Cricetulus griseus: one gene and its partners. The protein of the gene in region 3 purifies or fractionates together with the protein of the main gene of each other region. This does not show direct contact. Links are inferred from orthologs where the notes say so. Each region holds a gene or a part of one and is shown on either strand. Other genes may lie near its edges. The genes, in order: Snrpd1, Snrnp200, Sf3a1, Snrpb, Snrpa1, Rbm17 and Phf5a.

Region 1 (4,386 bases), on a different chromosome or scaffold from region 3:
ATGTTGTCATTAGTGAGGACATTCTCCCAAAGTAAACCTAACACCACAATTGCATGCAATAACTGGACAGCAGCACCTAGCAGACCCCTCATGTTCTGACTTCCTAGTCTGTAATTCACAATACCACAATTACATGCAGTGAAATAATTCTACAGCATCACCCATGCTTTATTTTAGCCAAATGGCCATGGAAAGATAATCCTACAATAGCATCTAACAACACTTCATATTCAGATTTTCTAGTCTATCTTTCTACAATATCCTTTGTAAACTACTACAGCAAACTGCACAAGTAATATTATCTGTTCCATTCTCACCACTATTCTACTATGAAGGAAAGCAGCAGGCCCTTTCTATAGGTGACACTGGACTACAACAAACACTCAGGGGATGGAGAGGTGGCTCAGAGGTTAAGAGCACTGGTTGCTTTTCCAGAGGTTCTGAGTTCAATTTCCAGCAACCACATGGTGGCTCACAATCATCTATAATGGGATCTGGTGCCTTCTTCTGACCTGCGGTTGGGAGTACACCGTGCACATAATAATAATAATAATAATAATAATAATAATAATAATAATAATAATAATAATAATAATAAAAAACCACCAGACAGGTCCAGCGTTTCAGCAACTTTTAAAGGAACCCACCTTAAAAAATTATGTTGCCGGGGGCTGGAGAGATGGCTCAGCAGTTAAGAGCACTGACTGTTCTTCCAGAGGTTCTGAGTTCAATTCCCAGCAACCACATGGTGGCTCACAACCACCTTGAATGAGATCTGGTGCCTCTGCTGGCATTCGGGCAGAAGACTGTATACATAATAAATAAATAAAAATCTTTAAAAAAAATTATATTGCCAAGTATGGGGGTGAAGATCTTTAATCCAGCACTCAGGAAGCAGAAATTCTTTCAGAAACAAGGGAGTGGGTGAGGAGATAACAGTCTGCTAAAAAAAATTCCCTTAAGACATGTAGGCACCGATCTGTAATCTCAGTTATTCAGTAGGCTGCAGTAGGATGATCCCAAATCTGAAGTCAGCCTGGGATATGGAGTGACTTCTAGACAACCTGGTGACATCCTGTCTCAATTTTTCAGTGAATCCTTCATTTTGTGAATTCTCTTACTTATTATTACCATTGCTGTTGTTGTTTGAGAAGTTTCTCTGTGTAGCCCTGGCTGGGTTCATATCAGTAACAGAGTGAGCACTTGCCTAGGACGCTAGCTGGAAGTCGAGGTAACACCCCAGGTACCACCACCCAAAAGCAAAGCTGTCGTAACAGAATCTTTAAATGGGAAAAACCTAAGTTACTGCAAACACATGATAGTTCACATCAGGCAGCAGGGAAACAGCAAGAGTATACTTTAAATTGTGAGACTTTCTACCTAATGTTACAGTCCAAATACAAAAGAACTGGAGCTATAGTCAAAGGTAGAGCGATTATTGGAAGCTCTCTAGGCGCTATCCCCAGAACAGGTGGAATTTTTTTTTTAACCTTATATGCTTTCTCTTCCAACTCCCCCTGAACAGAGTGTTTGTCATTTCAAACAGACCAGATGTTACCTGTTCTGCCTTCAGCATTAAACAGAAAAGAAAGAAATCTTGTAGCCCGACGGTGATGGGTCATGCCTTTAATCCCAACACTCCGGAGACAGAGGCAGTGTTATGATAAATGTTCGTGGGGGACCTTTGTGGATTCCATGGCAGGCAAGGATGACCCAGTCGAAAGGACATCATGCCAGGCAGTAGGACTTAAGTGAGAAGATTATTAGAAAAAAAGGGGGGTTAGAGACACAGAGACAGAGAGAGGACAGGAAAGACAAGAAAAGTCCTGTCTGCCCCAGGGGAACAGCAGGAAAGAGAGAGAGGGAAAAAAAAAAGCGGGTAAGAGAGCATAAGTGGACAGAGACCTTTCTTTTAAAGGGATGCTTTGCATCTGGGCTGACCAGGGTACTACTGTGTGAGTGCAGGGGCAGGCCAGCATAATGACTGAATCCTTTTCAGGCAGGCCTCTGAGTTCGAGGCCAGCATGGCGAGGTGCAGGACAGCCAGGGCTGTTACACAGAGAAACCTTGTCTCGAAAAACCACAAAGAAAAATCTCGTACCACTACTTTTAACAGGTGACTATAAGCAGTCCTTGACTCAACAAGAAACTAAATATTTCTAACTGGCTTAGGCATTAAACCCTGTTTCGGGCTCTGCCTAATGCCTATTTGGTTTGGAAGTATTCATACCAGCAAACAAAGCTCCACTAACCGACACAATCTGCAATCAGGCGAAATTAACTTAACTTCTGCCCCATCCTGGGACACTGTCGTGAGTCGAAAGCCAACATTAACCAGTTACATACAACCGATCCAAAATAAAGGAGAACTTTATCTAAAACGTCTAGCAGATCGGCGTCGTTGTTTGCAGATAAAACCATGCTGCTTTGGAGTTCTCGTCCGTGCAAGCAGCCCGACTGGCCAGGGAAAGCGGCCTCGGCTCCGTTCAAGCCGCAGGAAACGAGGCGAGCAGAAACCGCTCGGCTCCCCCATTCTTGGAAGACGCGCAGGGCCGGGGCGCGCCGGCTCCTCGCCGGCAGCAACGAGAAGGGCGCGGCGGGCCCGGACGCGGGGGCCGTTAGCAGGCCGCGCGCACGCGGCTTTCCCGCCTCCCTGAGGGCGCAGAGGCCCGGCTTCCTGAGCCCGCCCAAACCCTGTCCCCGCCGCCTTCGGCCCGCCCGGAGAGCCTCCTCACCTCACGAGCTTCATCCTAGCGGCGCAGCCTCCCTCTGGTCCTACTGGACACGGAATTCGAGCTCCAAAGACTCACCGACTAGGCGTATGAATGGCCGGAAGAGCGCACGGAGGCCTGCGGATCCGCGGTGGAAACGCGGAAGCCGCGCTGCCTTCCGGCCACCGGGACAACCACAGCGGCCCCTAGCGACGGGAGGAGTGCTTTGCGCCGTCTGAGCGCGGCGTGGCTGGTGGAAGACATCTGCAGGAGGATTCACCTTAAAACTATTTATAATGGCCTGGCGCTTTCACAGTTGGAAGGAAGAGAAGATCTGAGAGAACCCCTCCAAGACTTCTTTAATCCTTGGGGCCCACATGTTGGAAGCAGAGAACCGGCCCGACAAGTTTCTCCTAGTTGGTTTGACAACTAAGCTGAGCCAATCAGATTTTTGTATATAATAGTTTTCCTTTGGGGACTTGTAATAACCCCAGAGCTACTGAGAACCTTTTTAAAAACAGGAAAGCCATTCTCAGGACAGTTTTAAATAAGACCTTCATTATATAGTAAGTTCTTCGACTTAAAAAGTTATGTGGATATTTCAAATGAAGTTAAATAAAACAATTCAACTCCTTATTTGCAATAACCACATCGTAACTACTCAAAATCTATATGTATCATTGATTACAGTGCAGATAATTTCCACTATCCCAAGAAGATTGGATAATATTAGTTTATTATATTTGATTCTTACATGGAGCATGAATTCTAATTGTTCTTAATAAAGCCTCAGACTCGGCTGACAGGGGGTAAAAACTGAAGGGTCAGAGAAGCAGAACAGCCAGCCACTAGAGTTCTTACCTCTACCAATGTTCAGACCAAAGGGGCCATCCTGTCCTCAGACTGACTGCCTCCTCAGACTCCTGTCTCCTCCGGCTTCTCTCTGCCCAGCCACACCACTCCTGTCTCTACCTCCCTAGTGCTGGGATTAAAGTATTGGGATTAAATGTGTGAGCCACCACCATCTGGCTCTTTTTTCTCTTTTAAACTGGATCAATCTTATGTATCCCGGGGTATCCCAGATCTCACAGAGCTATGCTTGCCTCTGCCTCCTGAGTGCTGGGATTAAAGATGTGTGCCATCACTGCCTGGCATCTGTGGCTAACTAGTGTGGCCAGCTCTGCACTCTGATCTGCAGGCAAGCTTTGTTAGATCACAAACAAAATATCACCACACTTACAATTATTTATTTACTTATACTGAACTCAGGAGAACATAGTGTCTGAAAGCAAAAAAAAAAAAAATCTGTTTATTGCACTCTCCAACATCCGGTATCTCCAGTCTTATGCTTTAATATGATGTGCTCCTCCTCCCCCTCCCCCCTCTTCCTCCTCCTCCTCCTCTTCTTCTTCTTCCTCTTCTTCTTCTTCTCCTTCACAAAATAGTCCAGTCCCGATGTGTGGGAACTGGTCCCAAGGCCTATGAAACCAAAGAGGGAGGCAGGCAAGCCCAGAATTGCAGTGTGCAGTTTATGGGTGACTTACAACAGAAGCATGGGCCTGGGTATCAAGAAAACCACCTAGGAACTTGAGATTTGGGTTAGAAGACAGGTGGGTTATGAAATAGGGCAAAAATTAGTTCAGAGCTAGGCATGGTGGTGCAAGTTTGAGGCTAT
Region 2 (4,470 bases), on a different chromosome or scaffold from region 3:
CCAGTAATCCTGGCACTTGGAGAAACAACAGGACCATAAGTTCTAGGTTATTCTTGAATACACAGTGAGTTTGAGGTCAGCTTGAGCTACATGAGACCTTGTCTCACACAAACAAATAAAATAAAATTTAAAAAATAAGCTTTGATCCCAGCACTCAGGAGGCAGAGACAAGAGGATCTCTGAGTTTGAGGTCAGCCTGGTTTACAGAGTGAGTTACAGAACAGCCAAGGCTACACAGAGAAATCCTGTTTTGAAAAACCAAAAGATAAAAATTAAAGACTATAGGGAGCTGCTGAGGATTTAACACAGTGGTACCACATGCCCTTAAGCGTAGCACTCGGAAGACAGAGGCAGGTGGCAGAGGCAGGCAGATCTTTGTGAGTTAGAGACCAATCTGGTCTACAAGAGCTAGTTCCAGGACAGCCTCCAAAGCTACACAGAGAACCCCTGTCTTGAAAAACTTAAAAAAAAACAAAAAAAAAAAAAACAAAAACAAAAACAAAAACAAAAACAAAGCATGAGAGATCCTGGAGTCAGTCCCCAGAAGTGGGGGGGGGGGGATTAGGTAGATGCTTTTCAGAAGCAAAACAAACTTATACTTTCCACCAAGGCCAACAACTTAGGTTTGATCTCTGAGTCCCACACAGATGAAAGTTGTCCTGATTTCCACAAACAGAATAAATATTTGTAACTAATAATTTAACCAAAATTCTTGTGCATCACCCTTTCTCTTTCCAAACACAAGGCCTCATCCTCTGGTTCCAGCCTCACCTGGTCTCCAAGAGCAGCCTGGATAAAGCTGAGCAGCACCTCATAGGTCTCTCGCGTCTCCTTAGTTTTGGGCTTATAGATGATGCCCACCATTTCATCAATGCCCTCTGACAGCAGCGTATAACCTTTCATCTTGTTGATGTCATGCCGGTCCTCATCACGCTTTCTTCTCCTAATGAACACAGGGTGTGATGCTCAATGGGAGAACTTTGCGCCCCCAAGTCAAGTTTACCTTTTCTTTTCTTTTCTTTTCTTTTCTTTTCTTTTCTTTTTATAATTGCAATTAGACCAACTTTAAATTAGAAACCAGCTTCATTTACATGTCAATCCCAGTTCCCTCTCCCTCTCCTCCTCCCCTGCCCCCCACCCCCGAAGTTTACCTTTTCTATACATCTAATATGTGCAAGCAGGAACATGAATCAAAATAAGTAATTCCCACTTGACTTTAAGCATTTGAAGAAGTATTTATTTCTTTATCCTCATGAGGAGATAATATAATGGTATTTCAACTTTAAAAAACAAACAAACAAACAAAACCTTTTATTAGCCAGAGAGGCTAGGCTCCAGGGGAATCTACTTCTATGACTCCCAATAAACAGCTAGAAAAGAAGCCAGATTCTGAAAAGTGAAGGACCAAGGAATGTTTCTTCTCAAATTTAACAATTCTCTCAAGTCTCAACAACTCTCCCCAATTATAACCACTCAAACTAAACAGGGCCTGGGGACTGTTAAGACTTCACAGAAAGAAAAAGGAGAAAGAAAGCACAGTAGGAGAACATGCAACTTTTGAAATGGATCTATCAAGATGAAAAAACGGGAGAGACAACAAAACAAAAGCATCAGGAAGTGGACAACAACCGGAGGGAGTTAGGGTAAGAAGCTTTTAACAGTGGTAGTGGGGCTGAACTGCTGAGACAAGAGATTAACAAGGGTCTGGAAAATAGTTGGTGACGGGGCTGGGGAGAAGGTTCAAGTAGTTAGAAGCAATACTGCTTCTGCAGAGGATCAGAGTTCAGTTCCCAGCCCTCCAAACTGGGTAGCTCACAACTGCCTGAAACTCCAGCTCCTATGTTCCAAACTGTCTTCTGGCCTTCACAGGCATTTGGATGCATGTGCACATACTCACAAAAAAACACACATGCACATGATTAAAAATGAAACAGATTTTTAAGAAAAAAATAGCTTGAAGAAAATTAGCATCTACCTATGAATCAGAAACAAAAAGTACTAATAGATTTTTGTTCCATTTCATTGCACCCAAGTCCAAAGAAACTTTAAACCTTGAAGAGGTTTTCATTCTCTTGTGCAAACACCGCTGATCTTCCACAGGTACTTCATCAAAACTACTGCTCAAATGTTCAAGATGCGCTTTAGACTACAAGGAAAATATAACACCCCGTTGGTACCTACTTGGCCCGTCTTTCCTCCTGCATCTGTGGTTTGGTGCGTTGAGCCTTATCTCCCATCCGAGTTCCCTCCAACTTCCCAACCAGGGACAGAACCTCTCCTGTCGGTTCATCCCGGCGGGTCCGGTCAATAAGTGAGCGGTCAGCTTGGAGCACAAGATTTGAGTTCTGAAAAGATCATACTTAATCAAAACTTTAATATATAAATAGCTTCGGTTCCTGTTATCACAGTGACACCTGAAGATGGAAAAATACTGGGAAAAAGGAATAATCCCCTTAAGAAGAAACAGTATAATAAAACGCCAAGCACCGGACTGTCTGGTAAAGTGAACGATCAACGTTCCTAACAGTAGTCACAATAACCCACATTAGGTGAAGTGTTGAGCAGATTTGGGGATAACGAGTAGGAAGGGGCGGTTTGAGGAGACTGGGAAAAAACCTCCCGAGTCCTCACGCGCCCTAAACCCCACTAGAGTTATTCCGTCGTGTTTTAATCCAGCCTTCACCCAGATCAGATATTCCGTCCGTGTTTGTGGCTACCCACGGCCTCCCTCGCCCGCAGCCCTCCGCCGAGACTTCACGCACCGCCTTGTACTCGTACTGCAGACTGCGGGCAGTCACATCCGCCATGGCTGCCGATGCTCCGGGAACTCAGGGTTCCACTCTCCACACGCTGCGAACCGCCTCAACAAACCGCGCCGGCCCAGCAGGAACGACGCAGGACAAACGTGCGGGACAGAGAAAAGCAACGGACTCCCTTCCGCTTCCGGGACGTACGCTAAAAGTGATACTTTCCGGCGACTACGCACCGCCACTAGGTGGCGGTTGCAGAAGGTAATACATCCGGGTCAGGGATTCCGTGGACCTAGGAAACACGCTCCTGCGCAATATGGTTCCAAGGACCTATACGTACGCAGAGTCACGAAGCCACTTTTAGTGTGGTGTTAAAAGTCCCTTTCTGTAATACACTTTTGCTTTCTCAGTCCAGCGGTCCCGTCAGGCAGGCAGGCAGGCATGCTTGCAGGCAAACGGAAGCTTAGGAGCTCCGTTTATTAAGGATGAGAAAGTTGAAGGAGCAAGTTAACATGCTTCTAATAACTGACTGGATTTCTCTTCTGTATTGAGAAATTGGGGAAATGTTTGCTGCCCCCAACGCTTTTCCTCAAGAGTCAATCGCTGTGGCAGCTGACTGAAGGTGAAGGAAGAAATATTTGCACCCAATGATCTGTCACAGTCCATGTCAGGATTATAGATACGGATTATTTGTTCTCAATGTGGCACAAACGCTACATTTACTAAAGAAATATATGAAAAGTCTATTCAGATATACTATTCAGATGTATTAAGCAGTAATGATACATTTTATGAAATGGCGGTATCTAATCTTTTAATAATTCTCTACATTGAAAACAAAACAGCTATTTCTACTTTTCCCTTTAGGTTTAATAAGCACAACTGACCCTTAGGCCTGTGTCTTAATCCACTGAGCCATCTTGCTGGCAATTTTTATTGTTTAATCTGTTTATCATTACTTTCGTTTTATTCTATGTATATGGGTGTTTTGGCTACGTGTATATCTGTGTCTGAATGTATGTTTGTGTGTCATGTATGCGCAGAGCCCAAGAAGGCCAGGAGGAGGTATTAAATCCCCTGGGACTGGAGCTACAGATAGGTTAGGAGTTGCCTTGTGGGTGGTGGGGTTGAAACCTAGGTCCTCTGAAAAGAGCAGCCAAGTGTTCATAACCATTAAGCCATCACTCCAGCCCTTCTTTGGCTTTTGAGAAAAGATCTTTTGGAGTCCAGGTAGGCCACAAACTTGCTCTGAAGAGACTTCTCTGCATGCTATTATTATTGTTGTTATTATTATTATATTTATTATTTATGTTTATAATGCAAATAATATATAGAATATTTATATATTATATCTTAACATATTACTAACAAAATATTTATATTATATTTATTATTATTTTATTCTATATTATTATTTTTTATTGTTGTTATTTGTTTTTGAGGCCAAGCTGGCCTCCAATTTGCCTCTGCCTCCCAACTACTGGGATAAAAGGTGTGTGCTACCACAGCCTGGCATCTCCAACCCTATTTTGTAGACAGCTTTTTCTTTGGGCCACCAGCTCACAACAGAGACTTATTAATTATGAAAGCTCAGCCTATAGCTTAGGCTTGTCCCACTAGCTCTTATAACTTAAATTAACCCATTTATATTCATCTATGTGTTGCCATGCATCTTGTAGCTTTTACCTCTCGAATGTCCTGCTATCTCTGTCCAGAAGTC
Region 3 (3,700 bases):
ACCTTATTTTTTTGAGACAGGGTCTTGTACTGAGCCTGGGCTCACCACTATGGTTAGACAGGCTGACCAGCCAGTGGGCTCCAAGAATTTGCCTATCTTTATCCCCAACACTATACTTTTATGTGGATGCTGGAGATCCAAGCTCAAGTCCCAATGCTGCATAGCAAGCATTCTACCCACTGAGCCATTACAAGTTCAGACTTTAGAATACCACGTTAAAAAACCCATCTAGAAACATGGTGGAGTTTTTACACTACTAAAGATAGAACTTGTACCCTTGTACATAAAGATACACACTCACTCCATCACTAAGCTATATAATCAATCCTTGTAGACAAGGTCTTGGCCTTAGTAGATCTGAAACTCACAGGCTGGCCTTGAACTCACAGAGATCCACCTCACACATTATGGGACTTGAAGGTAAGAGCCACAGCTGGCTCTAATCCATTTTGTTTTCCTTTTCTTAAAAAAAAAAAAAAAAAAAAAAAAGTGGTGTGTGTTTACTCAGATTCTCTGTGATTTACTCTGACCTGTGCTAGGAATAATCAAATACAGGTCTTCTTTAGGAGCAGAAGGTGGTCTCAACTTCTGAGCACTTTTCCAGATCCTATTTCTTTCTTTCTTTCTTTCTTTTTTTTTTAAATAGAGCTTACCTTGTAGCCAGACTAGTCTCCAACTTTCAACAGTTCTCTCTAGTACTGGGATTACAGGTGTGCATCACTATACCATTGATGGGGTTTTCTTTTTAAGAGAACTCCAGTTGTGCTTTTTTTTTTTTTTTTGTCTGTGGCAGCAGAGGATGACACAATTATTGGAAAGTTACGTGAGAAATTGAGATGTTTCTAAGTGCATACACCTGTGCACACATGTCCATGCGCACAGGCCAGGGGCTGATGTGAGGTGTCTATCATTTCCCATCTTATTTACATTTATCTACATATTTATTTTAGATAGTGTCTGGCTGGCCTGAAATTGCTACCAGGATGGCCTGAAACTCCACCGATTGACATGTCCCTGTCTTCAGAATACATCAACACACTGGCTCCACTTTAGTTTTTGAGGGAAGGAACAAGGTTTCTCATCAAATCTGAAGCTAATAGATTTGCTAGACTACCTAGCCAGGTTCCAGGAATCTGCTAGTCTCCATTCCCCAGTACTGAGGTTTCCAGATGTAGGCATTGCTAAATCTTGCTTTTACATAAATGCCAGGAATCCAAACCCAAGTTCTTATACTTTTGTGACAGGCACTTTACTGAACTGAGCTATCTCCCTAGTCCCCAGCAGTTTTTCTTTAGTGCTCTCTTAAGCAACTAATGTTTCACATGGAATTTTCTTCTAAAGAAAATTCTAAGAGGGAAAGACAATGTTCAAACTCCTCTTACACCTTCAATGACCAATCAGAAACCTGGAAGCAATCTAAAGAAAACATAGCCTGGACACCCTGCATCCTCTCCATAGAAAACATGCAGCATGAGGGAAATCATGGAGTAATATAAGGAAGTTTACAATTTAGCATACAAGGAAAACCAAGACATGATAGCACTTGTGCTAGTAGTACAGGAATTGTCCCAACAGTTAAGACTGTACTTATTGCTTATGCAACATCCTTTCCCTAATTACTAAAATCACAGAAGAAAGGGGAAAGGCATTAAGTTTGCTATGAAACATTAGCCAAATAAACACAACACCCAATGCCCTAATCTTAGGTAGCTTTTAAGTGAAAATCCAAGTTAATTAAAGCCCTTAAAGTGACATGAACTCTCATGGAGTGGACACTGTGAAAGATGTCAATCAGAATCTCTTTTGATATTTCACTAGATTAGGAAATTGAGAAAGAAACATCTATTAAATAATACAAAGTGGTAGAGATGTTACCTCAGGGGAGTGACTGACTGTAAGTGTGGGCCTTATACGGCACATGCCCCTGGACACTGTTCAGGGCCAAGTAGTACTGACTATCATGTAAGAAGCAGTCTAGTTCAAGAAAAGCCAGAAATCCAGACAGATTGTGAAATCCCCTCATTTTAAAGTGTGGAAATAGGAATTTTTTAAAAAAAGAGTCTAAGGACAAACAAAACATCTGTAGACTGGATATATCTGTGGATTGCCAAAAGAATACTTTATAAATGACCTAAGCCAGGGGATGTGTTGACCTTTGGAGTCAAGTGGTCCTAAAGATTACATCTAAGGATGTAGAATGAGGACACTGGGAGGAATCCTGACCAATTTTCACTTAGCCCAGGAAGATAACTAAATGTTTACAACATAACTGAGCTTCACTCAGTCCTGTCAGCTATCTATCTCGCTTGACTCATCTATAAATGATCATCTGAGGCTTTGTGGAAAAGTAGTCCTTATACAATGAGAATGATCAACTCTGTTTTCTATTTCTTCTGGCCAGCAGCTCAAACACAGCATACTCACATCACCAGTTAAAAGAAGCTACCAGGAACTTCCTCAGGTTTGTTCTGGAAGCAGAAACTCCTAGTGACTATACAGCTGGGTATGGCTTTCACTGTGGTTACTGTTGTGGTATGCCAAAGACACCAGTCCTGTCTATTGCCTATCCCACTGCCCTACTTTGGTTTTGGAAGAACAAGCCTAAGCTAGAGCCTCTATAAAACCCCATGCTGGGGGCTGGAGAGATGGCTCAGAGGTTAAAAGCACTGACTGCTCTTCCAGAGGTCCTGAGTTCAATTCCCAGCAACCACATGGTGGCTCACAACCATCCGTTATGAGATCTGGTGTGCAGATATACTTGGAAGCAAAATGTTGTATACATAATAAATAAATAAAATCTTAAAAAAAAAAAAAAAAAACCCATGCTGTCTTTATGGTGATTCAAAAGCCTTTTACACTACAATTTTCCCCAACCCACTGTACAGAAGCAGCTGTTACCTGGCCACAAAACTGGCAGTCTTATCAACGATATTCCTGACCTCTGGAGGAGGGTAAATAATCCCTACCACCGGCTTGGAAGGGGTGGATTCTTCTTTCGATGATGCTTCTTCTTCAACTGGCTGTGAAAACAGAAAAAGGAAATAAGATCTTCAAGTTCCTGGTTTGGGTTCGGCTGTCATAAACTCTATACCAGCCCTCAGCATTTCTCCATGATACAACTGGCACGACTCTGTCTTGCAGACTTCTTATACGTACTTATGCAGCCATTCCAAAGAATTAGGGAAAACAATGGCTTCCTTGGTTCTCCTTTAGACAGACATCTGGTGTGATCAGATACACATTTTTTGTTTACTTGCCAAAGAGTTAGGGCTCAAACTCAGAGCCTTACACATGCTAAGCAAGGCACTGAACAATATCCTTAGCCTCCAAATCTGCATTCTTACCCAATGTCCATGTGATTTAGACTCAAGGATGTTGACCACAATCTAAGAAACCAGAATCCAAAAGGCTATGTCTTTAGCCCTGAACCTAGTACTGTGTCTGGAATGAACACTTAAGGATTGCCTGTTAACAAGCAGGAAAGCCGCTGGGTGGCAGTGGCGCATGCCTTTAATCCCAGCACTTGGGAGACAGGCAGGTAAATCAAGACCAGCCTGGTCTACAAAGGCTAGTTCCAGGACAGGGTCCAAAGCTACATAGAGAAACCCTGTCTGGAAAAACCAAACAAGCAAGCAAACAAACAAAAAAAGAAGAAGCAGGAAAGCCAGAGAGACCAGACCAGTGGCTAATGTGTTTACCC
Region 4 (2,894 bases), on a different chromosome or scaffold from region 3:
GAGATAACCCTGACCCTTTACCTCTGCTAATGTGATTTTCTGGAGCTACAAAGACATGCCAAGAAACCCAACACTTCCATGGTTCACCACTAGTCTTGCTGTACTAAGTATTACAGTGTTGCTGACAATCTCACCATCTAAACAAAGTGAGTACAAGAAATCATGGCAATCCCATTTAAAAGTCAGGTTACAGTATGCACATGTGTGTGACCCTGAGAAAAAATTCTAAGAGTACCCCACCTTTAGTGTTTGCTTCATACAGATCTGCCTACCCAAGTGATGCAACACTTAGCATATGAACGTTTCTTTCCAAAACTGACCTTTAAATTTAATGGATAAAAAGCCTTATAGTCCAAACAACAATAAAATATTATAGGGAAGCAGCTAAGAGTATGGTTAGTTTTTCAAAGTAATCCCTTAACTATTAGGCACTCATCAAAGACTTTTCTAAAGACAAATGGGTGTATCTACTGCATGTATGAACAGTCTCTTAAGAGTTTATTATAAACCAGCTTCATAGGCCACGGGGGGGGGGGGGGGGGACGGGGGGACGGGACACGACTATGTACAGCCTTTTGGGAAACAGCAAGGAGCTGAGGAGAACCAAGATGAGTCTAGGGCCTTGGAGGGCACATTCCCCAGGGAGGGAGCCCTGAAAGGAAAACCAGACGATCCAGGGAGACTCCATGAACAACAAACAGGTCTGTATTAACTCGGCCCAAGGGAATGGGACCCACACCTCAGTGGAGCTACTGCCATAATGCTGTTCGAGGATCAAAGCAGACCTGAAGCAAGAGAAAGTTTAGTCAGAACCTGATCTGTAACACAAACTCCCACCACCACCCCTTCCCACAGTCTGCAGATAATTATCAAGTGACTACAGGGATGGATTGACTGGGCTATGTCCATAAAAAACACAAATGCAAAACCAAAGAGAAAGAAAATGGTCATGAAATCTGAACATTGTTTATCTTAAGACCTACTATGACTTCATGGAAAGAACACAGGGCTGGTAGTCAGGATATTCTCTGAGCTTTCTGTTTAACAGACTCACTGTGTAGACCTGCTGTCCTCAAACTCAGAGATCCACCTGCCTTTGGAATGCTAGGATTAAAGGCATGAGCCAGTATATACCCAGCAAGACTCTCTTAATTAGTCAAGGGCATCAGATAGTCTCTAGTGTGATCTCAGGGACTCTCATCTTACATCCAGGGCTGCTGGACTAGACACTGAACATACCTCTGTTCCACTAGGGAGGCAAGGCCAACCTGTTAATGCTTACTCCCTCCTCTCTACTTTCTGGACACAGCTATCCTCCAAGAGCTCAATTCCCTAAATTTGAGGCCCAAAAACAGATCTGGTCTAAAGCCAAAGTCACTACTGTAGGCACTTACCTCGCATCCCTGGAGGAGGAGGTCGCATTCCAGGAGGGGGCATTCCCATTGGAGTTCCTCGGCCAGGAGGGATCCCCATTGGAGGACCCATAGGAGGCCTCATGCCAGGAGGTGGGCCCATCATACCTGAAGGAAAAAAGTCCAAGAGACCTCTTAAAAGCTTGGAGGAAACATACAAAGTTGTATACCAAGTCAGACAGCCCAGTCTATCCTCTCAGCCTCTACAAGCAAAGGGGGCTCCTAATGGCTCTTATCCAGCTAGTTCCCAACTCAGTCAGCCAGGCTGGATCTCAGAGTAATCCTGCTTAATTACACAAACTCATCATCAGTTTCAGTTAAGGATCTATTTCATCATGAATCCAGCTAAGGCATTTTGTGACTAACTAGTACTGGTCTCCTCTGAAGATATTTACCTGGAGGAGGCGCCCCTCGGCCCATAGGTGGAGGAGGACCCCCACGACCAGGTGGGTACTGAGTTGGGGCTCCTGCAATACTGGCTGTGGCTGCAGCTGCAGCAGCTGCAACAGTGCCTCTTCCTTGTGGAGTCATCACCTAAATAAATAACAAAGAAGAATTAAAACACTAGTCAACACATCCATCTTCCCACTCTTCTCCCCAGTTGCCTGAGTCTGAAATCTCCTAACCCTACAACTCACACCATCAGACTCCCCATGTACAAGGATACTATCAGGAAGCCTGAATGCCCAATTTCCAGCCTCTTAGCCTGACATTATTATTAAGGGCTCCCAATCCAACCTGGGAAAAGCACTTGCAGTTAAGACTGGTAACATAGAAAAAGAAAAGTACACTTACTCTCACAAGAACATTTTGCTAAATTCAGTTGGCTGGAATACCTTTTGTATAGCTCTTCAGACAAACCCTGATAGCCTGACAATCACAACTCATTAGGAGACTGATTGGTCAATCTGGACGCTTCGTCAAGCTGCAGATTCTCCCCTATCCTTTTGGCTACCAGAAACTAGTAGTATTCCTCCAGTGCCTCACCTGCTGTGATGGGCCTCCAACCCCTCGGACTGGCCCAGCAAGTCCTGCAGGAGCCTGGGGCATGGGGACACCAGCTGGGATTCCTCTGCCAGCAGCCCTGCCAATACCTGGCCCCCCAGCAGCTCCAGCAAGTGGCACTCGGGCAATACCAGTCTGTAAAAGTTAAAAAAAAAAAAAAAGTTGTAGAATACTATTTTAACTAGGCAAAGATGTTTTACATTTGTTTATGCTGAATTTGTTTAACAATGTAAGGATGTCTGATGTCTGACTGGTCTAAGAGCTGAACAGCCAATAGCTAGGCAAAGAAAGGATAAGCTGGGCTGGCAGGCAGAAAAAATAAATAGGAGGAGAAATATAAGCTCAAGAAAGAACAGGAGGAGAAAGAGGGGGTCACACCTGGGACCAGAAGCCAGACAGCTAGAGATAGCAGAAAGAGAAGGTAAAAAGCCCCAACACAAAACATTAAGAGATTGAGTTAAAAGAGCTAGCCAGAAA
Region 5 (4,359 bases), on a different chromosome or scaffold from region 3:
TCAATTCCAGCACTTGGCAAGGAGAGGGAGGAGGATCTCTGTGAGTTCAAGGCCAGCCTGGTCTACCAAGTGAGTTCCAAGACAGGCTCCAAAGTTACACAGAGAAAAACCTGTCTTGAAAAACAAACAAACAAAAAGGATGTTATTGAGACAGGGTCTCACTCTGTAGCATCAGTTGTAACTTGCTGTGGAGACAAGGCTGGACTGCCTCAGCCTTCCAACTGTTAGGATTAAAGGTGGGCACCACTACACCTGACTTTTATAAATCATTTTTATTATGATGCTGTTGGTAATTGCTCTAGAATCTGAAATGTATACAGAGCAACATGTTTTAAATTTAAATTCAAAGTTTAGTATCAACTACGAATACTAAAGATCTCTGAAGATAGCAAGTAAGGTCAGACCAATGCCCACGTTAGTCTCCCAATCTCTTAGAAAAAGTGCTCGATTCATTCCTCCCTTTAAGAAGAGACATGGAGAGGCTGGAGCACTGGCTGCTCTTCCGGAGGACCCAGATTCTATTCCTAGTACCCACATGAGAGCTCACAACTGTCTGTAATTCCAGCTCCAGGGAACTCACACCCTCTTCTGGCCTCCAAAGGCACCACAATGGTATACAGATAGTGCAGACACACTTGCAGGCCAAACACTAATATACATAAAATGAAAACTAAAAACAAATCATGTCTTTCTTCAGGGTACATTGTAACATCTTTTCAAGGTAGAAAAGTATTCTCACTAGCAGACACTCACCAAATTCTGTTGTTGTTCACTAATAATGTTTTCAGTCTTCTCAATAAAGGAAAACCATCCAGTTTCCTGATCTCATTATCAGAAAAATCAATAGCATCAAACTGGTCTAAGGTAGCACCTAAATTTTCAATGACAGGGATTTTATATCCTGTAGAGGGGAAAAATACATACAGCAAATATTAATATAAATGAAAGGTCCTGAAAACAGTAGGAGCATCTGATTGTAATTAGACTCAAAGTACTCATTCAAGAAGTATTAAACCGGCACGGGTGCCATGTCACACTCTGTACAAAAATACTGAAGATAAGTGACAAATGAGTTACAGGGTCCTTACTGCCTCGAAGCGTGTGGTCATGCAGTAAACTTGAAGAGGAGGTTGAAGGCAAGAACAAGAACACAGGCGTATACTTAGTAATATTGGTGTCCACTGTTTATGAGAACATCTACAAGGTATTTACACTGTTCAAAGTTCTTAAGAGTGTCAGGCTCTATGTCAAGTTAACACTGCTTACTGTTAATGCTCAAGTCTTGCTGGGACACTGGTGACCAGCCTTCTAAACCATTCACATAACTCAGCAGTATATCCTCATGCTATCCTGACTCACTCTCTTCTCCACCAGCTCCAATTCAGAGCTGAAAATGGTGTCTATACAACCACAAACCACACTGTGAACATCCCCTTGATTGTCTAATGGGCATAACCATCGAGCTAGGTGCCAAAGGAAGAAGAGAAACTTAGTACACAACTTTCACTCAGTTGTGAAAGAGCGCAATAAAATAAGCTTTATCAAGACTGCATGGTCTTCAGAGATGCAGCAGAGACCAAAACTGTGTGCCAAGACAGTAAAAGGGTTCAGATACCTCTGAAATGGACTTTTGTCTGAGAAAGCTAATGTCTAACAAAAGCACTAGGATTTTCTATAGGTCAGCAAGGCATTTTAGCAAATGGCAGAGTATAGTCCCCGAGACTGTGGTTGCCTCATGACACAGTTATATAATCCTAACCCCTTTCAAAGCCATCTCCTGAAAAGTAGATAACTGCACTTTCAATGCTATATTTTGTTATTATTGTCATTTTCTTGTTTTATTCGACACAGGAGACTAGGCTGGCCTCGAACTCAGAGATCCGCCTGCCACTGCCTTCCGAGTGCCGGGCGTGTGCCACCGCTGCCCAGCTAATGCTGTGTTTTGTTTTTGTTTTTTTAAACCAAGCTCTACTCAACAGGTTAGTGTTCACCACCCCTCACATGGGAGTGATGACTATAAGCCTTGGTCAAACAGATCAAGCTAGAAAACACCTTCTTATAAAAGTGAATTATCAGGGGCTGGGGACCTGGTTCTGTGGGGCGAGTGCTTGTTTATCAAGAACAAAATCCTGGGTTCATCCGCAGCACCATATAAACATGGGGCACACGTTTAAACCCAGCGCCGGGAAGTGGAGGCAAGAGGGCCGGAAGTTCGAGAACGTCCCTAACTACACAGCGGTTTGAAGCCAGCTCTGAGTACAGGAGACCCTGTCTCAAAAAACAAATGAGCAGACCCAAAATGGAATTATTGTATAATTAAGATAACTTTGACTTATATCTAATCTACCCTCACGTGTCATATTAACGCATTTGCTAAAAACCAGCCGGTCGCGGTCCGGAAGATACCATTTTCTATTTTCCTGGCCCTCAAACAGTTCAGGCTGCTGAGCATGCCGGGCAAAGCCTAACGAATACGGACCCGGGAAGGAACGGAGAAGCCGTGTCTGTTAGCGGGAGCGGGTAACAGACGGCTCCAAAGGGTCCTGAGGGACCGGCGATCGGAGGAGGTACCCTAAACCCGGGCGGGAGGCCCCCGGGCCAGGCTCCGGCCTCCGCGCACGCGGCGGGGCCCGCTCCTCCCGGCCTCGCGCCGAGCCCGGACACAGCCCGCGATCCCCCTAACTCACCGCGAAGATCCAGCTCGCGGTCCCGCACAGCATTGGTGTACTGCGCCGCCTGCTCGATCAGCTCCGCCGTCAGCTTCACCATCCTGCCGCCGCCGAGTCCCCTCACCTCGGCCACCGGCCTGCGCCTCCCGCCAGTGCCGTGTCCCAGGGTGCACCGCGCCGCGCTGCCAGACAAAACCAATCGGAGCGGCGCTCACCTCGACCACCAGGCTAAAGCAATCGATCGAAGGCACCGCCGGGCGTTGCGATCGTCGTCTTTGCTTCTTGGTTCTTCTTGGCTGGTGCGTTCCTGGAGTGTGGCGAGCCCAGATTCCAGATATTTGTGTCCAAAAGATAAGAACACGAGAGAGGCACTCTCACTTCAGTGAACCTCGAGGCTGGGGTATTTGGGATTGTCCAACAGGGGGCGGACACTCCGCCAAAGCTTCAGGGATTCAGGTTTCTAAGATTTGCGGTCCAGCAGAGACAAGGCTGGGCCATTCGGCTGGACTGCCTTAAGATGGGCAACATCCGAGCTAGTATGGTCACCTTAAAGCCTCAGGGTGGACTTGCGGCGTCTAGACATTTAAGTATTGATGTCGAGGGGCTAGCCAGAGAGATGGCATAGAGGTTAGGGGCACTTGCTGCTTTTGCAAAAGACTTTTGCAAAAGGAGTCTCATTTCAGTACCCAGTTGTGCACCTCACAACTGCTTGTAACTACAGCCCCAGGGATTCGTCGCCCATTTCTAACCTCCTCGGACACCGGCAATCGCAAACATAAAAATAAAATAAAGCTTAAATGATATTCATATTGTAAACTGGGCGTGGCGGGGAACGCCTTTAATCCCAGCATTTGGGAGGCCAGATCTGTGAGATGAGACCAGGTCATTCTGATCTACAGAGCGAGTTCCAGGGCTATGCAGAGAAAACCCGGCTTGAAAAAAACCAACAACAGCAACAAAATTCATATGAAGAGCAGGGGCGTACACACATCAGAAACCTGACATTTGATGAATGCCAACAGAGTGAACACACACACCTGCAGAGCCTTGGCCTCTGTCCCCAAAGACGGCCAGGAACCCAATTCTACGAATTAGTGCGCTTATTTTTTATCTTAGCTTATTAATTAGTGTATATGCCACTTGTTTGTGGGTGCCAGGGGAGGCTTATGGCCTGAGATTCCCTGGAACTAGCTGTTGTAATCCTGTGGACATGTGTATTACAGGCTGAACTCCAGTCCTCTGCAAAAGCAGAAAAGCATTCTTTAAATCTTTTTTTAAAATTACCTGTGTGGTTTTGTGCACATGGGTGAAGATACCCACAGACTTCAGAGATGCTAAATTCTCTGAGATTGGAGTTACAGGTGGTTGCTGGAAATGAACTCAGGTCCTCTGAAAGAGCTGTAATGGCTAAGTCAGGGGATGACTTTGAACATCTCACCTCCCTGCCTCCACCTCCAAGTGCTGGGATGATTGGATTGAGCTCATGTAGTGGTGGGAGTGGACTCTGAGTTTCTGTGCATGCTGAGGCAGGTACTCTACTGAGCCACATCCCCAGCCCTGATTTTGGTTATTCTAAGACAGGGTTTCACACTGAAGCTCAGGCTGGCCTGTAAATCACTGCAATCCTCCCAACTCAGTCTCCCAAGTGCTGTGGTTACAGATAGGCACCACTGAAATGGCTAAGGTAATG
Region 6 (3,700 bases), on a different chromosome or scaffold from region 3:
AATGAAATACAAATGAAACCATAGCTTCATCTTTTAGATACAAGTAAAATTTTTCTCTACCAAATATTTTTACAAGTTTGATTAGTACTATGAGAAACTCACTGAGGAGCCCAAAAGAAACAACATATTAAAGTAATATTCCACCTTGATCTATTAAAATCTATTTGCTCAAGATATTGCTAAAATCTCAAGATATTTGCTAATAGCTGACAATAAAATATATAGCTGGGTGTGGTGGCTCACACCTTTAATCCCAGCACTTGGGAAGCAGAAGTAGATCCCTGAGTTCCAGGACAGCCAGGGTTACACAGAGAAACTCTGCCTTGAAAAACACATACATACATACATACATACATACATACATACATACATACATACATACGTGTATATATCAATAAGCAAAAAAAAAACCCCATAAATTAAAGACTGAGGCAGAAAACCACAAACAGCCTAGACTTCATGTGAAAATATTAATTTCTTGCTCCTAAGCAGCAACTTACAAACTAACTTTATATTCTCTTCCCCCGCCTCTCTCATACACACACACACTGTTAATTTTTGAGTGTTTTGCCTGTGTTATGTCTACCACATGCATGCCTACAGAGGTCAGAATAGTGTGTCAGATTCCTTGCGCTGGAATTAGAGGTGTTTGTGAGATGCTGGGGTCTGAACTCACATCCTCTACAACTGCAATAAATGCTCTTAACTGATGAGCCACTTCTCTAGCCACCAATGGAACCATTTTATTTGCAACCCTTCAGTGTCTATTTCCAAAGCAGTTTTTCTAAAGCCTCCACACCCTTTTTGAGGAAGGGTCTCATGCTATATACCAGACTGATACTCTCACCTCAACCTCCCAAGTGCTGGGATTACTAGGGCTGTGCTATCCAGTTCAGCTTCAACCTTTATTACTTCCCTCTGTAAGGAGCCTCGGTAAAGATACACTATACAATGTATAGTGTATCTTGTATTTCATACAAGAGCAAAATCTTTACCTAAGAAACATCAAAAATTGAACAAAGTATTCTCATTTCTAAAATACACTGGGCATTTTAGTTAAGAAACATCCAGTTCACAAGTATACCTTCCATATTTTAAATTTTGTGGTGGCCCACACCTTTAATCCCAGCCCTAGAGTGGCAGAGGTGGATTTCTGTGAATTTGAGGCTAGCCTGGTCTACACAGCCAGCTTCAGGCCACACACTGAGATCCTGTCTAAAAAATAAAAATAGAAACAAGGAAATAGTTGAATTATTTCAAAGATAATGCCCATGTCTAACGCATATACAACACAGACAAGAGCAATTCCCATCTATAACTCTACATGGCAGACACGCTCACAAACAACGGAGCCCTCCGGGATGTGCACTGTGGATCTGATTATCCTACTAAGCTGCTTCCAAGCTTCCTACAATTAAAAATTAACTAGCAGGATGCTGCCTAACAATGTACATTCCTGGGACCCAGCTTAGAACCAGAACTACCACAATATTAGGACTGTGGCTATGAAAGCAGTCTCAGGAACAAAACAAGTTCTGTCTCTGACATACTCAAGCATAAAGCCAGCCTCATGGCTTAGAATTTTGAGAGCACTGCTTTTCTTCACTCCTACTCCATGAAACAGTTCTGATGTTCCCAACAGCCAGGAGAAGCAAAGTAACTTCAGTTTTTCACCTTCCTGCCCCCACTTTTCTCAAGGAACTCTCTTAGTGGGTTTTCCCACTCCTGCTCTGGGCCTGTGTTTACCTTGGCTTGAGTGAGAGCTGCCTTCTTCACCTGAAGCTGGGACTGCAGAAGCTTGAAGTTTTTGGACCAGCCTTCGGTTTTTGAGTCACTGGTCTCCACTCCCAGGTCATCATATAGGGACATCTTTTTGGTTTATTGCTGAAAGACAGGGGAACAGACTAAATAATATGCAACAAGAGCAAGTTCTGAACACCACTTTGTTAAAACAGCAGCACCATGGACCACCTGCTGTTACAAAGGCAGATTTCTTTCTCATATGCAAAACTATACCCATGCACTATTTTAAAAACGGTCCTCTAGAATTAATTTTTCTTTTAAGACTGGTTTCATGTAGCTCAGGATGATCTTGAACTCATCACAAAGATAAGGCTGGCTCTGAATTTGTGATTCTATGCCTATACTTTCTAGTGGGAAATGCCACTATTCAGCCTAGAATTAATTTCTCAATCTAAAAGACTGTGGTGAAATGATTCATGACTAAAATCAGTTCTAGAACAGCAATGAAGTAAGTATCATTTGGGGCGTTATTAAGTATATAGATCCACTTTAAAAACTGTTCATCTCAATGGCAGAAAGTAGAAGTCTTATGAAAGCAGCAGTTTGTAGGCTGGATCAGCATAGGTATCTGCTTTTATAAAGAACATACGCAAACCAGGTGTGGTGGTGCATGCTTGATATTCCATCACTTGGAAGGTGGGGGCAGGTGGATCTAGAGCACAATGTCATCCAAGTTACATAAGGAGTTTGAGGTTAGTCTAAGACTCATGAGACCATGTCTTAAATAAACAGCTCATTAAGTTACACATATTCATAAAAAAGAGATGGTAAAAACATGACTATTGAGAGAAGAGTAACAGAGGTGCTGTCTCTTAAACACTCCTGTTTAACAACATCCACATGTGGGGCTTTGGAGGGAGCTCAAGTGGCATATCCCTCTTCCCAGATGACCCTAGCTTGTATCAAGTTGAGGGAAAAAACCAAACCAAAACAACAAAAACTAACCAGCACACTCCCACAGATTTGTGCGCTTACAGATAGGTAGCACTTGGGATGAAGATGGAGTGACTAACACTAGTAAACACTGGTATATCACCCTACTCAAAAGTGTCAACTCTGACAGACATATTTTCATTAATTTTAGGGTTAAAAATAAAATCAAACAATGGAGGAACTGAGTATCCAATAGAGACCTTCTATCTAAAAATTCTATTTAATACCACTTTTCTCCCTCTCTCTCTGACACAGTGTCTGGCACTCGCTTCACAGACCAGGCTGGCCTCAAACTCATCGATCCTCTGCTTCCCAAGTGGTGGCATAAAAGGCATGTGCCACCACTCAAGGCTAATGCAATCTTCATTGCTGAACTAATGAAGTTTTGTGATACTGGGATTTCATTTCACATCTTTAAACTGAAGATGGTCTGTTGACAATTCCATGTGATCCGACTAGCTCTCCTTTGCCTTAAAAAATGCTTTAAGTATTAGAAACCATTGTCATCTCTCGAGCATTTGATAGTTTTCTGTAACAGTTCATGAAATTACATCTTTACATCTCAGTAGATATGAAGAATATTCTTTTGACTTTCTGGTTTCCAATGACCTTTATGTTTACAGAACTGGACTATCATGGTAAAAGAATGCTTGCATAAATACTGATTACTTCAATTACGACTAATACAAGCTCCTGTGAATTCACCAACTAAAACAGAAGGCAGCACCTGGTCAGGAAATCATTAGGCTCCTCAAGCCATTCCTGTGATTTTCCCTGAATGCTGTTCTATCACTCCATTGATTTTTATCTTAAATAATTTGCCTGCAAAGAACCTTTTAAGGCATGTATATTTACATTTTGGCTATTTTAAGCATTTATGAATATACCACAGGTTAGCCATTTAATCTCCCTACAAACACAGCAAAACACTGAGTGAAGTTAACAAATACATTAAGGAGACTGT
Region 7 (4,432 bases), on a different chromosome or scaffold from region 3:
TGATGTCCAAAATAATTCTCAGGGAGCAGAATGAGGGGCAGGGATCCAAAGGTATCAGATCACAGGGCGCATGCAGACAAGTGAGATGGCAATTACTGTTTAGCAAGCATCCTCTGGTTCCAAGCTTAAGTCAGAAACAGACTCTAGACATTTCTGAAAGCTCAAGAAAGTGTTGTCTCTTCAGGGACCCTTTAGCTTGAGAACTGTGTGTCCCTCCTCTTTCCATTACACCCAGTACTTCCCAGTTCCTAAATAACAAATGCCCAGGGTGGGGAGTGTCTCCCAGGAACACTTTATAGGCACAGTACCAAAAAGAGAGCACCATCCTTGTATTACAGATTAGGCACTATTACCAAGACCCGAGAAAAAGGAAAGATGGAGGACATAATCCACAGCTGTGGAAGACAGAATACAATCGAGTTCTGGTTGTCTAAAGAATTGGAAAGAGCATTTAGGGCAGGAGAATGTTCAAACCACCAACTGAAATTATGATTTCATACTTAATCAACAACATTCCCCTTTTCCCAAACAATAGTGGATTCAACAGAGTAAACAATACTTTTCAGCTGCTCTAAAACTCCATTCTGGGCCAAGCACCAATCTGGTTCTCTAAGAAGGACAGGGAAAAACAGTAAGCACATAAAAGTATTAGTGGGCCAAAATACTCACTAGTGTGTGTGTGTGTGTGTGGGACCAACTCCAGGCAAGCTGTCCTCTTAATACCACATGCACCCACACAAATAGATGTAACAAAGAAATTCAACCAAACCAAACACAACCAAACTCTGCAGCACTGAGAACAGTGAGGATATACCCAACAGGAATCATTTGTATGTCCTGTGGCATAAACTGCATGCAGGCAGTAAGAAAAGCCTGGAGCTCATCCATGGAGAAAAAGCTCTCAGTTGGGAACTCTAGCTAATGCCTAAATGTGGCTTCCCCAATCAATATCTGCTGGATGTGGTAAGACCCGATTTGAGATTTGATGATAAAGTCAATCAAAACTGAAAATGCAGCTATCATAGATCACCTTCCGCACCACGTAGAACAACCCCCCTCCCTCCTTAAAGCCCTATCTGGCTTCGGGTACTGGTGGTAGGTAGCATCCACATGTGGAGTGCTGAGGAGGCTGGGTGCTCTCTTCATCATGAGCACACACCAAGAAGGTCTTAGAGAAGCATAACATGATGTAATGTGGACACCAGATTTAGTCAGATAGCCTGGGACAGAGTATAAAAGGAGGATGATAATAACCTCTACCTACATGACTAGCTGAACATTGCAGTCTCCATAGACCAGAAGAGATGGACATGGATGGCAAAATGGTCCAAAGAAAAAGGAAGAAAGGCCAGGAGGGAATGCTCAAGTCTACACTCACATCCTTCTCCTGAATGGTGCATTCTTTACAATAGTAGGCATCGGAGACTCCGGGGCCTCCACAGATCACACACCGGCCCTGGTAAGATCCATAGTTACACTCATCACATATGCGAACCAGGGTGCAGGGTCGCACATAGGAGTCACAAATCACACATTTGCCATCACCTGCAAAGGAAGAGGAATGGAGTTATATTCACTAGTGATTACTTCCTAAAGATCTTTATTCTATGGGTGAAATAACCAGTCTCCCTTTGACTGTGACTTCAGGCCTTTTCTCTATCTTGACAGCATCCACCCTATCTTATATCTACCATCTACCTCAGTTTCCTTCAAAATATAAATGGGAAGAGTTTTGACGTGTTAGCTAGGAGCTTTTAAGTCTATGTAGTTATCATCAACAAATTGCATGCCTTCTTGCACAAACATTGGCCTGGGAAGGTTCACACTACTCTGATAGTTCTTACTGTCCAAAAGTATTTTTCCCCCACAACCTAAGTATGAAATATTAAAGTATGCAAGCTAAAGTGGGAGTCTGGTGGGGAGCCTTTGGTTGTAGTCAGAGATTCAGTGTTCTTTGCAGTCTGGCATATCCACTCAATGCTTCTTTAGGGCTCCTCTGGAATAAATGGCTTGTTGGCTCGTCAAAAAACAAAGAAAGAAGGCAATGTGTGAGAGGGTATGTTCCACTCACATTTTTCACACAGTCTTCCGATAGCTGCAAGAAAAAACACAGTTAAAATCAAAATGGTGATTTAGCAAGGAAGTTGTTCCTCAAAGCTGGGATAGAGGATGGGGCAGGTAGCAATGACTACAGTGAGCAGAATAGCTGTCTTATTATCCTTTTTTTTCCCCTCTCCACGCCCCTCCTCCCAACAGATTCCCGTTTTATAGCCTGGAACTTCTTATGTAGTTCAGGTCGGCCTCGAACCCCCAGCAATCTTCTGCCTTCAGCCTCCCAGGCGCTGGGATTACAGTCGTGAACTACCACGCCCGGCCTAAGCCCCTAAGTTTTGCTTTGCACCAGCGCCCTGTCCGGAATCCTCAAAGCAACCTGGGACGGCTTCTCCAGACCTAGCGCAGACGCTGCCCCCAGTTTCAGGCTCCCAGACGCGCGATCCTGCCTTCTTATCACAAGTCACAAACCTGGGCGCACCCCCAGAATACCCAGGGACCGCAAGGCGCGAAACGTGGAGCCCCCAAGGCCAGGCCCTAAAGAGGAAGCGAACCCCCCACTCTCCCGTTTCTAACACCATCCCACTCCAACGGAAGGGAGCGGCGAGCCAACTCACCAACACCAGCCTGCTTGCGGCAGAAAATCAAATCTGGATGGTGTTTAGCCATCACTCGTCCCCAAGCCGGCGGCCGGAAGCTTAGAGAACTTCCGCTCGACCTTTAACCTACGCCGTTCCTACACCCACTTCTCCATCGTGATTGGCCGTCAAGGTGCCCATCAGCTTTTGCCCTTCGTTGCACCAAATCTCGCTAGTTCTCGCGAGTTTTCTCAGCGTGAACTTGCTGGACCCCTAGCAGGTGCATCAAAGACTTTATAATAAAGTTTTTGTTCCCTCCCGATTTGAACGAATAAACTAAGTGTTTTTGTCTTGGATAAAATTCCTACATATGGCTGGTTGGTGGTAGCACACGCCTTTAGTCCCAGCACTCGGGAGGCGGATCTCTGAGTTCGAGGCCAGCCAGACCTGTCTCGCAAAAAACTTTTGTACACATGGTACTTTTTGTGCTCGGGGCTGAGGCCAGGGCCTCACGCATGCTTCCGCAAAATATGTGGTCTGGGGGTTCCCTTTTGAGTCTCAAGGCGTGAAGGATGACCTTGAACTCCTGGCTCCGCTGCCGTCTCCGTCCCCAAGTGCAAAGACTGACAAGCTGGCAGTTTCTTTCTCGCGCTGTGCCCGTCATGGAAGCCCCGCCCACTGCGCTCTCTGGACTCCGGCTCCGAGGAGGAAGGCCCCACCCTCACCGTGACGCGCCGCTTTGGAGGCCACGCCCCTTCCCAAGCACTTCAAAAGCGCCCTGTGGCACGTCACTTTCACGCGACCTCATCTTTGTCAGTGCACAAAATGGCGCCTTACAGCCTCCTGGTGACCCGGCTGCAGGTGAGCGAGCTCCGATGTGTGGGTTCACGGGGGCGGGGAGCTCTGCCTGCGGCGGTAGGCGAGGCCACGCGAGGCGGGCTCAACCTGGGGCTGACTTTTGCGAACCTGTCCCGGTTGCAGGCCCAGCGTCCTTGTCCGCTCCTGCCTTGTCCTAGGTCAAGGTGTCCCTGGCACAGTCAGTTCCCAGGCCCAGTCCCCGTCCCCGCCCAGCGGGAAGCTTGAGTCTAAGCATCCGCAGTGTGATAAAGGATGAGGGCACCCCTCATTTCCTGAGGGCCGAATTGCCCGCTCCCCCCAGTGTGGTTTTCTGTTCTCAAGGTGATGACAAGGTTACTGGGGGGCGCGGTGGTTGTGGGTTCCTCTAAGCCAGGTGCTTGAAGCCCTCACTTCCCATTAACAGCAGAGATTTGCCAGCCGTTTGTATGTGTGGTTCTCGGGCCTGGAGTCTGCAGAAGCTATACCCAATACTACCTTTTGAGGACACCTGGGGTCATAGATGCAAGAAGGGTAGAGTATTCTGAGCACCAGTATAGTCCATAGTCATGATAACAGTGGTTCCTCTCTGCACCAGATGTCAAGACTGTTCACTAATATAACCTGATTTACATATTTCTGGCAACATAGATGTCAGATGATTTTTTTCCAACTCAATAGATAGTAAAACTGCAAAAAAGTAGATGAAAGTTCTGACTTTCACGGTGTCACGATAGTGCTATAGCTTGAGCAGTGACCCTGCTGACCCTCTGTTCTCCTTGTTCATGGCAACCTAATGTCAGAACTGTCTGAACCAGGGTGTGGTCGTTTGTAGTTGTCAGAGTACAAAGTATTTCAAATTCACAGTTGCTTTTCAGATACTAGGTGGAAAGATGAGAAGACCCAACAGTTTGACCTTGACTCTACTGTTACGAGACATCTAGAAAGTTAAGTGTGACTGACAGAGG

Evidence for each region.
Region 1: the proteins of Sf3a1 (region 3) and Snrpd1 fractionate together in Homo sapiens (co-fractionation; 4 studies listed by BioGRID and IntAct, with this or other methods). This does not show direct contact. The link is inferred for Cricetulus griseus from reciprocal best matches to the Homo sapiens genes SF3A1 and SNRPD1.
Region 2: the proteins of Sf3a1 (region 3) and Snrnp200 fractionate together in Homo sapiens (co-fractionation; 3 studies listed by BioGRID and IntAct, with this or other methods). This does not show direct contact. The link is inferred for Cricetulus griseus from reciprocal best matches to the Homo sapiens genes SF3A1 and SNRNP200.
Region 4: the proteins of Sf3a1 (region 3) and Snrpb purify together in Homo sapiens (affinity purification with mass spectrometry; 3 studies listed by BioGRID and IntAct, with this or other methods). This does not show direct contact. The link is inferred for Cricetulus griseus from reciprocal best matches to the Homo sapiens genes SF3A1 and SNRPB.
Region 5: the proteins of Sf3a1 (region 3) and Snrpa1 purify together in Homo sapiens (affinity purification with mass spectrometry; 6 studies listed by BioGRID and IntAct, counting the BioPlex papers as one, with this or other methods). This does not show direct contact. The link is inferred for Cricetulus griseus from reciprocal best matches to the Homo sapiens genes SF3A1 and SNRPA1.
Region 6: the proteins of Sf3a1 (region 3) and Rbm17 purify together in Homo sapiens (affinity purification with mass spectrometry; 4 studies listed by BioGRID and IntAct, counting the BioPlex papers as one, with this or other methods). This does not show direct contact. The link is inferred for Cricetulus griseus from reciprocal best matches to the Homo sapiens genes SF3A1 and RBM17.
Region 7: the proteins of Sf3a1 (region 3) and Phf5a purify together in Homo sapiens (affinity purification with mass spectrometry; 3 studies listed by BioGRID and IntAct, with this or other methods). This does not show direct contact. The link is inferred for Cricetulus griseus from reciprocal best matches to the Homo sapiens genes SF3A1 and PHF5A.

Annotation. Positions count from the first base shown.
Region 1 is NC_048595.1:225,869,002-225,873,387, forward strand, and holds the start of Snrpd1 (small nuclear ribonucleoprotein Sm D1), read right to left. Parts: upstream 2,893-4,386; 5' UTR 2,750-2,892; coding exon 2,736-2,749; intron 1-2,735. UniProt on the Homo sapiens protein: Plays a role in pre-mRNA splicing as a core component of the spliceosomal U1, U2, U4 and U5 small nuclear ribonucleoproteins (snRNPs), the building blocks of the spliceosome.
Region 2 is NC_048599.1:51,367,696-51,372,165, forward strand, and holds the start of Snrnp200 (U5 small nuclear ribonucleoprotein 200 kDa helicase), read right to left. Parts: upstream 2,808-4,470; coding exon 2,763-2,807; intron 2,346-2,762; coding exon 2,182-2,345; intron 944-2,181; coding exon 772-943; intron 1-771. UniProt on the Homo sapiens protein: Catalyzes the ATP-dependent unwinding of U4/U6 RNA duplices, an essential step in the assembly of a catalytically active spliceosome. Plays a role in pre-mRNA splicing as a core component of precatalytic, catalytic and postcatalytic spliceosomal complexes.
Region 3 is NW_023276807.1:100,726,716-100,730,415, forward strand, and holds part of Sf3a1 (splicing factor 3A subunit 1), read right to left. Parts: intron 3,021-3,700; coding exon 2,899-3,020; intron 1-2,898. UniProt on the Homo sapiens protein: Component of the 17S U2 SnRNP complex of the spliceosome, a large ribonucleoprotein complex that removes introns from transcribed pre-mRNAs.
Region 4 is NC_048599.1:48,446,484-48,449,377, reverse strand, and holds the end of Snrpb (small nuclear ribonucleoprotein-associated proteins B and B'), read right to left. Parts: intron 2,553-2,894; coding exon 2,400-2,552; intron 1,947-2,399; coding exon 1,808-1,946; intron 1,521-1,807; coding exon 1,395-1,520; intron 786-1,394; coding exon 775-785; 3' UTR 681-774; downstream 1-680. UniProt on the Homo sapiens protein: Plays a role in pre-mRNA splicing as a core component of the spliceosomal U1, U2, U4 and U5 small nuclear ribonucleoproteins (snRNPs), the building blocks of the spliceosome.
Region 5 is NC_048596.1:131,213,826-131,218,184, forward strand, and holds the start of Snrpa1 (U2 small nuclear ribonucleoprotein A'), read right to left. Parts: upstream 2,847-4,359; 5' UTR 2,770-2,846; coding exon 2,688-2,769; intron 902-2,687; coding exon 754-901; intron 1-753. UniProt on the Homo sapiens protein: Involved in pre-mRNA splicing as component of the spliceosome. Associated with sn-RNP U2, where it contributes to the binding of stem loop IV of U2 snRNA.
Region 6 is NC_048596.1:228,372,254-228,375,953, forward strand, and holds part of Rbm17 (splicing factor 45), read right to left. Parts: intron 1,885-3,700; 5' UTR 1,870-1,884; coding exon 1,747-1,869; intron 1-1,746. UniProt on the Homo sapiens protein: Splice factor that binds to the single-stranded 3'AG at the exon/intron border and promotes its utilization in the second catalytic step. Involved in the regulation of alternative splicing and the utilization of cryptic splice sites.
Region 7 is NC_048595.1:379,006,407-379,010,838, forward strand, and holds the start of Phf5a (PHD finger-like domain-containing protein 5A), read right to left. Parts: upstream 2,812-4,432; 5' UTR 2,722-2,811; coding exon 2,670-2,721; intron 2,096-2,669; coding exon 2,072-2,095; intron 1,546-2,071; coding exon 1,379-1,545; intron 1-1,378. Other genes in the region: Aco2 (aconitate hydratase, mitochondrial), read left to right, coding at 3,456-3,491.